Danio rerio: one gene and its partners. The protein of the gene in region 2 interacts with the protein of the main gene of each other region in a pairwise test. Links are inferred from orthologs where the notes say so. Each region holds a gene or a part of one and is shown on either strand. Other genes may lie near its edges.

Region 1 (4,176 bases), on a different chromosome or scaffold from region 2:
TGCGGTACATTCTGGAGCGCAGTAGCAAATGCACACTTTTTTAGTCATTTAAATACAAAAACAAGAGAGAGAATTTCTTTTTCCTTTTTAAATGAGGTGTGTGCTCATAGATTCTGGCAGAATGATAACCTTGGATAAAATCATCAGTTTGACGATATTGTGATTAATGCTTTAAAATTTATTCTTTTTAAATGTCTGGGTAAAAGAAAACAAGAACTTTTTCCCACTTTGAATACAATGGTTGCGCCCAAAATTGCTTACTTTCATACTACATAGTACTCTATATAGTAAAAACAGTATGCAAGCCGAGGCGAGTAGCATGTCCGAATTCATAGAAATCCAAAATCAATATGCGAGAAGTACCCGGATGATCTGCTACTTCCAGCAAGATTCTGAAGTGCACTCCCGATAGACGCTACGCGATCTTATGATGCACCATGAGAAAATTCATGAATGGGAGTGAAGCGGGTGCTTCACGCGATCATGATATATTGGCTTCATTCATACTACTCACATTCCTACTGTATAGAACGCTCTTTTCTTTTGGTCGAGTAGTAAATTCAAATGCAGAACCCACAAGGGTTGTCGCGATACTATTCATTCAGGTTACGATACTATACCAGCTGAAGTATCAAGATGCCAAATAGTACTGCGATATTGTAATTCATAACTCAAATCTATTAAATAAAGGTCAGAAATACACATTTTAAAATGTTATAATAGGCACACTTGATTTTAATGCATAATTCCCTTATTGCTGGAAAAAAGTATTATTTGCAAGTCACTTCACCTGAAATGTGTTAGCTCTTTTTGATTATTTTGTAGATAACTGGCTAACAAAAAATACATTAAAATAAAGATACAAATTATAACAAACGAAATTTGTTACATAAAGAGCATTTTTCCTACAAAATTGGGCTATATGAGGTGGTCAAAAATCGATTCAATGTTTGCTGTTGCTATTTTGGGTTTTTCATTTATTTATTTATTTTTTGTTCAGTCTTATCAGGCAATAAACCAAAATAATTCAAAATTTTAATTTGTGAGTCCCTCTTTTGAAGAGATTGTTGAGCTTGTTCTAGCTACTAAATCATTTCAACAGAAACAGAAATGAACTGATTCAGATTCAAACTGAAGCGTCAGAAAACGTGCAATAGGCTACCATAAAAGGTGTGAATTCTACACATTTATGCAATAGAATTTATTTAGAGAAACATTTATAATATTTTGGAGCAGTAAACATGGCAGGCTTCATAATTCAAATGAATTTTTGTTCATTAGCTTCAAAAACACTGATTTCTTTACCATTTAAATTGGTATCTTTTGACATCTTCTCTGCTGTTGTCCTAAAAAAACAAAACAAAAAACAAAAAAAAAATCTTACACATACCTTATGAACGGTATAACAGAAAACTCTTGACTTTTCCAAACTGAGGAATACATTGATAACGGTTATCGTCCCATGCCTAGTGGATAGTGTGTGGTTTAAAGCAAGCTTTTTAAAATGATTTTATAAAAAGTCTCTCACAATTGACTGTATAAAATAACCGAAACACTGAAATTATGTGAAATTTTATTACAGTTCATTAAAATCACTGTTTTGTATTGTCATTTATTTCTGTACAGTCAAGGCGGAATTTTCTGCAGTCATTACTCAAGTCTTTTCTGTCATATGATCCTTCAGAAATCTTTTTTTTTTTTCCTTATCAATGATCAAAAGTTACACTGTATTTATTTAAGTATTGGAAAGAAGAATCTTTGATGAACTTGAAGAGCAGTATTGATTTTAAATAAATGAATACACAACATCTTACTAGGCATGAAACAATAAACATTTTCAAGGTATACCGCGATTTGGAAAAGTCAAGGTTTTAAAACCGCCAAAATTTTCTGCTATATCGTTCCTACAGTACATGTAAGATTTATTTATTTACGTTTCTTTTTAGCTTTTTTTGGGAAAGCAGTATCTCCAGCAGAAAATAGTTTTTTAAACCAATGAAGACAGCAGAAGTCAATGATTCATTTTAATTATTTAGCACGACATGTTTACTGCTCCAAAATGTTTAAAATGTTTTTAAAATAAAATGTTTTGTGTTCAAAGAGGAAAAAAGTTTTAGTTTTTTATCCAGACATTTAAAAATAATCTGTTTTAGAGCAGTAATCACAAAACAAATCACACCATCACAATCTTATTCAGCCCCATGCCTACATCTTACCATTTAACAGTAATGTAGATATGAAAGACATACAGTAGTGCTGAATAACAGGGAAATAGTATTTTGAAACCCTTCCAAGGTATCACGTCTAATCTTGTTACATGCTTGACTATCTCTTTCCATTTAAACTCAAATTAGACCATTGCAGCCCTGAATCTGCACAATGGAGAATCGTAGGAAAAGAGAAAACAACAACAGCCACTGCGTCACAGCCACACAAACACATTATCTGATACAATGCAGAGCAAATCTATTAGCCAATCCTACATGGGAAAAGGCTAACCATTACATTGATTTTAAAGGTTTACCACTTGACTCCATCCCAAACAAACTTAAGAAATAAGAATAAACATCTGCAGGAGTTTACTTTTGTTCATGCTAGTCGGACATGCCCTAACTAGTTGTCCATTTGGAGTGCTGAAAAGGTCCTAGGCCAGTTCAACAGACATGTTAAACAAACTCTGCACACTACAACAGATTCTCAACATACCAACAGCACAATGTGCTTTCATGTCAGAGTCACACGCTCTCTCTCTTTCTCTCCTATACGATCCATAAGGGCATTTTGTTAAACAACACTGCTGAGGTTAATATGACTGATATTACCTGAATATCGCCAGTGTTTGAATGCTTAAACATTTTTATATCAACATCAGGACTTATGAAACATACAGAGCACTATCAAATTAGTTTCTGCCCATAAAGCATTGTTATGATGACAGAAAAACAACAAGGGCAGATGTTTATATTGAAACAGTAACATTCATTTACAATGAAACATTACAACGATGAAACAGAAATATGCCAAAATATATGAATGAAAAATTAATTACATTGTGATTATTTTAATATATATTAGCAAATTATATATTAAGCTTTATGCAATGCTAAATTGTTTGCTAATATTTTACAAGAAAGTGACACCGCAAACTGCTATATAAAAGGTATCGCATCTGAAGCCGTAATACGTTTCCTTGTTGAGCAATTAATCATTCGTTTAGCAAATCTTTTACTTCACATAAAAGAAAAACAGTTAGCGAAGGAAAACTGATCTCCAAAAAAAGTAACTTTGAAGAGCTGCTAAACGCCACAGACGCGAAATTGTCGCTGTGTCTGGATGATGTCGCAGTTGAAAATTACCGCAACAGATGAGCTGATACGCAGCTTTACTATCACACTCATTAACATTACACGCTTTTATATCGCTTTGAATACAATTGACGCTTCATTAGCGCGGATTTGCTGCTTTAGGTCATTCTTCAGAACTAGCTGCACTCCGAGGCATGTGCAAAGTTTTCCATGTTGTATAACTCGCCAAGGTCGGTGTTTAAATCGCATTCAATCAGTGCACCAAACACACACACAACGAATACATTCTAGTGTTAATTTAGCTCACAAACTACACACATTAACTCTCTCTCTCGCTCCCTCTGGATCTCATGTGCCAGGATGAAAAAAGCAGTCACTTGAGTAGGTTACCTAACATTAGCAGACTAGCAGCTTTTGTTTTGAATTGCATTAGTGAGCGCACAAGGTTCACTTTGATAATAGTGTGTGTTAGAGTAAACTGCTCGCTTCGTACCTGCGTGCAACTTTTCCGATCAAGCGTGATGTGACTTTTGCTGCTTCTCTCCAATCCGTAACTTGTAAATCTTGTTTTTTTCTTTCTTTTTCTTCACGCCGAGAACTTGGCGCCAGCTCACATGCTAGCACGCCGAGAAAACACGCCCACCGCCTCGGCAGCGCAGCCCGCAGAGGGTCGCCTCGCTCCGCGTCCAGCCGCACCGCAGCCCCGTACTCGCGATCGAGCCTCTGGAGGAGCTAGTCGACGAGATGCTAACGAATTATGCTGGCTATCGCAGCTTTGTAATCCATCCCGCGCGGATTTTTTTTTCTCTCGCCGTGGGTTAACTAACGTAACGTACACACAAACAATGCACACGGTCGAATCTGAACGCGC
Region 2 (4,215 bases):
TGTCACTAAATTTTAATTTGCCTGCGACTATTTGTCAATTATTATATTGTCTTAGAATCGAGAAGCAAATTTTTAAGTCAGCCACCTTTTGTTTTGCAATAAAAAACCTCCACATTTTCCATATTGCTATATTTTACTGCTAAATATATATTTTTTTAATTTATATTTAAATTTTAGATTCATTCATTCATTTTCTTGTCTGCTTAGTCCCTTTATTAATTCGGGGTCACCACAGCAGAATGAACCGCCAACTTATCCAGCACGTTTTTTTTACGCAGCGGATGCCCTTCCAGCCTTCCATCTCTGGAAAACACACACACACACACACACACTTTAGCCTACCCAATTCACCTGTACCGCATGTCTTTGGACAGTGGGGGAAACTGGAGCACCCGAAGGAAACCCATGCGAATGCAGGGAGAACAAGCAGACTCCACACAGAAATGCCAACTGAGCCGAGGTTCGAACCAGCGACCCAGCGACCTTCTTGCTGTGAGGCGACAGCACTACCTATTGGGCCACTGCGTCGCCAATTCTAGGTTAACAGACATTATTTTTGAAACATTATTTAAAATATGTGGCTAAGAAATAGCTTTTTTTTTTTTTTTTTTGGTACAGGGCCTGTGAAATTTTTGGCAGGGCAAGTAAAAATTTGAACCACTGGTCCAATCGAGCCAATAGAAAATATCTCTAGCGTTGAACCCTGCTTAAGGAAAAAAGTCAACTGCAAATCAATGGTCTGAGGATGAGTAAAATGTTTTTTTGTTTTTTTTGTAAATATTTAACATTTTTACATATTTAAAAATGCAATTTTACTGTCCTTTACATCTTAAAAGTATCATTTAAAAACACTTGCAGATAATATTATTTTAAAGAAATAAACTTTAATAAATAAAATATTAAATGGAATTTTAACATAGTTCTTAACACATTTAAAAACAATAATGATAATTCATAATGTCACAAAAATGTTTTACCTAATAGTACAGTTAAAGTGATTGTTTTAATAATCATTTATTGTGCAAGTACATTTATTTTAAGGTGTTAAGACTATAAAATAGAAAAACGCATAAAGTACTTGGTTTCACTGTTTGTAATGAGTTTATTTTTGGTAATAATCACAAAAAAACTATTCTGTTTACCATAAATGACTGTCAGTATATGGCAGTATACTTTAATTCATCAAATTAACTTGTTACCTGAAGGAATAACTTATTTGGGTAAAAAAAAAACCCTATTAAGTTCAACGTACTGTACATTTTCATTTAACTGTAAGCCAAATAAAATTAAGCGTGCGAGACGCTCTGGGCAGTAGACAGGACCGTTACTGGCCTGATTGGCCCAGTGCTGCCTTGTCACTAAAGTTTAATTTGGCTGCGACTGTCTGTCAATTGTGTGCAAATAGGGTGCTAGACATTTGTTTTGCAACCTGTCTCGTTTAATATATGCGAATCAGCAATCGCACTCAGATCCACCCCAAAACCATCGGTCCGAGATCACCTAAATGAGGTGGTCTCAGTTTGAATAAAAAAAAAATTCTGGAGTTGATCGATTGTAGTGAGAAAGCAAAATGATCCAATGAACTAATTAACCAGGCTACATCACAGTGTATTATGGTTGTGTAATAGCCATATATATGTTTTATGAAGTGTTATGAGTAGGGTGGGATGTCATTCCTACCGGCAAATGAGCATGTCATGTCAAATATGAAAGTGAAAGCATGCTGAAACATTACAGAGTGCTGTTTATCCGTTAGGGAAATTGACAGAAATTACCATCTGATAATTGTTCCATATTTTAATCTTAATCTATTTTGTATCTATTTAATTATTGTCTCTAATATATTAATTTTAATCTATTGTTTTGTTTATTTCTACACTGACACCTCAAAAGAAAAATCAGCATTGATCTGCTTCATAATCTGACTGCAGTTTCGGTTCATGTTAATTCTCTCTATAATTTAAGGCTATAATGCATAAATCTATACCAAACGCTTTAAAAATAAATAAATTGAATAATTGTTTGGCTTTTGACACATTTTTTTAAATTATGTGCCAAGGAAACAGCTACTAGCTTCCAGAAAAACCCTTTTTGAACCCTAAACTTTATCTCAATAGTAAATTGTATCAGCAAAAGTGAAGTGTTTGATTGCTATTCTTACCTGAAGCTCCTCGATTTTGGACAGGTAATACTGTCGGAGACCAGAGCCTCCTTTACTGTCCTCGATATCCATCTGCAAACATAAATATTAACAATAATATTGATATGCAGTCACGATATTGATATACAGTCGGGGGATTAACAGTAAAGTGATTATGCCAGGTAACGTTAAAGAAATCGGTTTATTGCTTTTAAAATGATCTAGTCATCCTGTAGAGATGGGAAATAAGACATTTCTCTGTGTATTGTTCGAGAGTAACTTACAGCTTTATTTTCAACAGCGTTTTTTGATTCCCCACATTAAATTCAGTGACATGACATTCCTGAAGTACTACCAGAGATTCATGACATTATTACACACAAAATATCTCTACAGCCATTATAAACGTTTTTGTATGTAATAATGAAACTTCCTTAGTTGACATGTTATATTTAGTCATGCCATGTTATGATCAATCCCAGTCAGTGACACAATGAGACAGCAAACTCTGCTTCATTCGTCTCTTAAAGTCAGACATTGTATCTTATTTCTAAACGCTACAGTCACCGTACAATATATCTCTGGAATTTGTTGTGCTAAAGAATAAAGTACAGCTAACATCACTGTTTATATTAGAAGATTTAAAACAAAAATATTACTTACTTGCTCGATCCCGTCCAGCGCCATCTTGAAAACACAAACTTCCGCCAGTCAATTGCGCTTTTCCGGTTTGTTTTCTTCAGGGAATGATGAAGACGGAGGATTCAATCTCTAGCGCCGCAGTCACATTGGAGAGATACTACAATCATATTCATCCCCCTGAGACCCACAGAACATTTTTTTCCTTTTTCTGATTTCCAACATCCTTTGGATTAAAAAAAATCTACAATTTAGGGTTTTCACATTTGTTTTTGTTTTTTTTTATTTGTTTTTATTTTTACTGCCTGTCCACTGTAGTGGACCACAGGACCATTTTAGGACCATTCTGCCAAACTCAACAAAACTGTACAGGATATTAATATCTGGATGCAGCCTTTATGATGCAAGCTGAATTTGCATCACTCAGCAATGCAATCTCAGACACAATGCACTCAATGGAGAGAGTGACATCACTGTGATGATGGGTAGAGTTAGGGGTGGGGTTAGGTGAGCCCATTAAAAAGCATTGGATGCAGCTCAGATTGCACTGCACCCGGTCTGCATCCAGACCCCTCTCCAGAAAATGGCTGAAAAGAGATATTAATCCAATATTAATGTAACTCAGACTAAACAAAAGCCATTTTTGTTTTCTTTTGTATTGAAATTCCTGAAACAGTTTAGTCTAAAAGAGAGCCAAACTGAAAAAAAGAAGAAAAAGAAGAGATATTAATCCAAAACAAATTTAACATAAAAGCGATTTAAAACTGATTGTCATTCTCTAATTGTCTCTTATTGTCTGATTGTCAGACTCTAAGTCATAGTCTCCATCAACTATCTTATAAAGAATCCTCTCTGCTTCAGTTCTGCCCCCTACAACATGCAGTCATTTATTAAAATAAGATGGTCCTGGTGTCCACTACAGTGGACATCAAAAAAGGATGATATTTTGAAACACAAACAAGTTAACAACTTTGAAAGCTAAATGTATTGTTCCTGACATTCTAATTAACAAATATATACGTAATAATAATAGTAAAAAAAAAAAAAAACATTTAAAAGGCTAAATTTTACATACCTCTCTCTTTCCCATAAATGAGCTTGTTTGTATGCCGGCCAGTGTAAGTAATGGTTCCTACAATGCCAGCCAATCAAATGACATATCACTAGAAAGTCCAGGACTAGTTAATCCACACATAAATCTGTTTTATACGCACGTCTGTTTTGCAGGTGTCATGGAGGGTCAATTCAGTTCACCTAATCTGCATATCTTTTAGGTGTGAGTGGATTTTTTTAGCAGTGCAGAGATTACAAACTTCAGTTTTGTCATTGTCACCCAATTGACTAATTCCACACAAAAGACATTTATTCAGACAACAATAGCTTCACCTTTGTTTAGATTGGCAGGATAAAATTAAACGTAAAATTACTAACAAAGG
Region 3 (4,279 bases), on a different chromosome or scaffold from region 2:
GCAAAACTGGACACTAGAAGATTGGAAAAACGTTGTCTTGTCTTATGAGTCTCGATTTCTGCTGTGACATTCGGATGGTCAGGTCTGAATTTGGCATCAATAACATGAAAGCATGGATCAATCCTGCCTTGTATCAACGGCTCAGGCAGCTAGTGGTGGTGTAATGGTGTAAGGAATATTTTTTGGAACACTTTGGTCCCATTAGTACCAACTGTGTCAATGTCACAGCCTACCTGAGTATTGTTGCTGGCCATGTCCATCCCTTTATGACCACAGTGTATATTCTGATCGCTACTTCCAGTAGGATTACGAAACCAGTCTGAGATGATTCGCGCTTTATGACATAATGCTTTATGACATGACTGCAGCTGATCATCTTGACCATGTCTACATGCCTAAATGCATTGTATTTTTGCCATGTGATTGGCTGATTGTAGATTTATGTTAACAAGCAGTTGGACAGGTGTACCTAATAAAGTGGCTCTCTGTGATCATTAAAAATCCCATGGCACTTCACGTAAAGAGTTGGGGTGTAACCCCGGTGTTCTGGGTGAATCATCTCAGACTGGTTTCTTAAGCATGATAATGAGTTCACTGAAGTCAAATGGCCTCCCCAGTTACCAGATCTCAATCCAATAGAGCACCTTTGGGATGTGGTGGAACGGGAGATTCACATCATGGATGTGCAGCAAATCTGCAACAACTATGTGATGCATTCATGTCAATATAGAACAAAATCTCTGAGGAATATTTCGAGTCCTTGTTGAATCTATGCCACTAAGGATTAAGGCAGTTCTGAAAGCAAAAGAGGGTCCAACCCAGTGCTAGTAAGGTGTACCTAATAAAGTGGCCCATCAGTGTACAAGGTCAATACCTAAAACTGTTATTTTCCCTACTTGATCAGCCAACAGCACGGACTAGTCTTGATAAAATATAGAAAGTTAGAAAATCAATCCTTTCCAGACATTAGTGTTTTATTCCTGACTAGTACCCATAAGAATGGGACGGGGAGCACATTCGATTACCCTAAAGACGTCTTACCCATTACCTTATTTTACATTGTGTCAAATAGAAAATATGTCTTCTTGGAAGAATTGTATCTAAATCCGCTGCCCTATTTTTGTTCCCAACTGTCCCTTTGTTTTTTTCTATCTCTTTTTATATCCCTGTGTTTGTTGTGTGAGGTCATTCCCCATGTCTTCCCTAATCCTTTGTGGTGGTCATCTTTCTGTCCCTGGGTTCATTTCTAATCCATCCATGGTCCTGTGCCGTAGCCGCTAACACCCTCCATCTGTCCCTGTCCTCATATAAAAACAACCCATTGTCCCACAATACATAACTCTCCATAATTCACAGGGGCTCTCCTCTCATCCTTTGGGTGCCCACGTCTCATCTTTTTACAGAGTGAATTATCCTACCATCAGCGAAAGGTAAAAGTCATTTTGTTGCCTCTCAGATATCTGCATTCTTTTCAATGTGGAGAACAGCACTTTTTATTTCTCTGTATAATTCTGCATGTATATTAGATTTTTCTGTTATCTCCAGTTCTTGTTCTTGCTAATAATGTTAGCTGTTATTTATCCAGCAATGTGTTTTGATTTCCTCAACCAGACTTTTCCTATTTTTCTGTAATTAAATAGCTACAGACAGAACCAAAACAGTGGTCGGAACTGCATTCCTGACCTCTTCCAGTATGAGCTTATGCTAATTTAATTAGTTATTCATTTAATAAAAAAAAAAAAGATTGTGTTCAGATAGTCGCATGAAATCATTAACTCGGTCTCTAAGCAATACAGATTCATATATTCTCCTCTGTGTCCTTTGCTAAAATTATCCCATCAGAATTCTGTGGTTAATGCTGTTCTGACCTCCCACACCCTTGCTGCATCCCCAAAATGCCTTTTTGTCTTGCACTTTCCCTATCTTGTTTCCTCCAAATTGTGTCTATCCCTGCTTGGGTCGATCCAGAGCAAAGAATATCTTCAGTTTGTAATGTGATAATTTTATACAGTGTTTGACCAAACTCATGCTCTGTAGATGCTCAAACCCTCATTAGTAAAGTAACAGGCGGGCAAGCTGTTGAAAGGACTCTGCTTTTAGACAGGCTTTCATAGAAGCCTTTGTCCAGAGACAATAAAGTATAAGAGGGTCGGTGACGGCTACATGCCTCATAAATTCTCTCAAGCGATGACATAGAAGCTATGAAGTTGTTTCTCATGATACAGTACTGATGTGAAAGATGAGGCACTTGAGAAGTCTGCCTGGGGACGTTTAATGACTGCAATCAAACAGTAATTGCTGTTATCTGCAGTTCCTGCTATCAAACCCTCAAGATCCAATTAGGGAAATCAAGCAAGGTCTTGTTATCTCACATACGTACTGTATGTGTAACTGTGTCTACTTACAAGACGGAAATGTGAAACACTACTACATGAATCTTGTTCTACCAAATGTGAAACTGTAGAGAAGTGTGAATGAAAGAGTCAGAAATGTATCTCATATGCCCTGTCTTAGTCTCTGCATTCCCACCTGTTCTCACCCCATCAGTCTTCATGTGAAGCATCCAATGGGCTGTCAGCACTTTGGAACAATGGAACAATTTGGTTCTTGTGCTGTTGGGTTTTGTCTCTCTCTATTTCTCTCTCATTGGTTTTTAAAGCCATTACAATAAACTTGTCTTATTCCTTCTTTCTGTATCTCCTTTTTTCCTTCAGCTTAATCATGTCTGATGTAGAAGAGGAATATGAGTGAGTACCGTTTCTTTTTGATGTTTACTTATGGAAACTATTCAAGTATTGGACTATCTGAAGGATCATAAGTAAATCCTTTTTCCCTACTTCTTACCTGATTCCTCATTCCATTTCCTTTATTGGTCTTTTAGGGAACAAGCAGAGGGTGAGTATTGTTTTTATTTCTTGCCCAGCTGAAACTACAGATTTAGTGATTATCTGTAAAGCCTTGGTCTAATGTGTACCCAGAGGCTAGTTATAGATACTTCAAGAGGCCCTGCTGAGCTTCAATTGGTTTCACAATCATGAGTCTGATTGGGTGCTTAGGCTTGTCAGCCTGCCTTTATCTGGAAGGGTTATTCCTGCACAGTGATCTCATGTTTCTGGTAGCCTTAACAAATGGTCTACACTTACATAATCCTTTGCACAGACTTGTCTATATTTATTCACTTATTATATTTCCTGATTGTCCTCACGTGCTCTCAGCACATAATTGATATTCGCTTATGTTTGCCTTTCATCAATCATCCTGTCATTGTGTCTGTATTTGTAAGCTGAAGAAGAGGAGGAGGAGACTACAGAGGAAGCTGGAACAGGTAAAATATTACAGACATGCAAAAACTGATCAAGGTTATAGAAAGAAAAGTATGTAATGGATTTTTTTTTTTTTTTGTAGATATAGTGCAAATTAGATATACTAAGTGAAAATATCACCAATTGTAAACAAGAGTGAGCTGTCATCTTTTTAGTTTGGAATCTGAATCAGGCATATACTGTAGTACTTGTCAAACATTTAATGACAGACCAGGGGTCTTGTAAATAAAACTTTCCATAGAAACCTATGCCAGAATAAATAGTTTTTAAAATTTTTTTATTATGCCACATGTGATGGTTTAAAGTGGTTAAAAAAAGTCAATGTTTAATACAAAAGTAATATGTTTACTTGCAGCTGTGCACATTCTCCCATCAAGTTTGTTTTTTAACGTTTGTGAGGGAAGTTGTGTATTATTTATATCGCCCTTTTCACAATAATTCCAAAGCAGCTTTACAAAAGTACATCCTTACTTTACAATTGAAATCAAGTTAAGGTGTTGAGTATACAGTTGACAATACATTGATCATTAACCTGCAGTAATACATTATATATTGTGCTTTCATACAAGTGGCATCTGTGTATATAATACTTTTTCTTTTTTTCTTTCTTTTTTTTTGAAGTGGACTGATCAACAAAATGATTAAGAACAGTTTGCATATTGTGTACTGCTTAAGACTTTGTGCTGTCCTCAATTGTCTTATAGGGTTCATCAGCCTCGGTTCTTTCAATATTCTTTGTCTGGGTGTCTAAGGACTCATTTATGCATGTTTTAGAGAATATGCAAAAATCCAAACAATTAATCGAACAGAATTCTATGTTCAGGCAGTCACATTAATTTTATCATTTAAAAATTTGGTATATCAAATATGAATCACCACACTCTTCCAAAATGGATAGGTGCTGTGACCAGATTTCTTCAAAAGACAGAGACAGATAAAACAAGATGGATTGCACA

The links.
Region 1: the proteins of psmc5 (region 2) and vdrb interact in a two-hybrid assay, tested with the Homo sapiens proteins (2 studies listed by BioGRID). The link is inferred for Danio rerio from reciprocal best matches to the Homo sapiens genes PSMC5 and VDR.
Region 3: the proteins of psmc5 (region 2) and tnnt1 interact in a two-hybrid assay, tested with the Homo sapiens proteins (2 studies listed by BioGRID and IntAct). The two-hybrid records come from large-scale screens. The link is inferred for Danio rerio from reciprocal best matches to the Homo sapiens genes PSMC5 and TNNT1.

What each region holds. Positions count from the first base shown.
Region 1 is NC_133181.1:41,551,962-41,556,137, forward strand, and holds the start of vdrb (vitamin D3 receptor B), read right to left. Parts: upstream 2,916-4,176; 5' UTR 2,823-2,915; intron 1,347-2,822; exon of another isoform or gene 1,331-1,346; coding exon of another isoform or gene 1,306-1,330; intron 1-1,305.
Region 2 is NC_133187.1:10,713,017-10,717,231, reverse strand, and holds the start of psmc5 (26S proteasome regulatory subunit 8), read right to left. Parts: upstream 2,835-4,215; 5' UTR 2,828-2,834; coding exon 2,804-2,827; intron 2,234-2,803; coding exon 2,162-2,233; intron 1-2,161.
Region 3 is NC_133178.1:30,978,538-30,982,816, reverse strand, and holds the start of tnnt1 (troponin T, slow skeletal muscle), read left to right. Parts: upstream 1-1,337; 5' UTR 1,338-1,430; intron 1,431-2,714; 5' UTR 2,715-2,721; coding exon 2,722-2,747; intron 2,748-2,881; coding exon 2,882-2,895; intron 2,896-3,283; coding exon 3,284-3,325; intron 3,326-4,279. UniProt on the Homo sapiens protein: Troponin T is the tropomyosin-binding subunit of troponin, the thin filament regulatory complex which confers calcium-sensitivity to striated muscle actomyosin ATPase activity.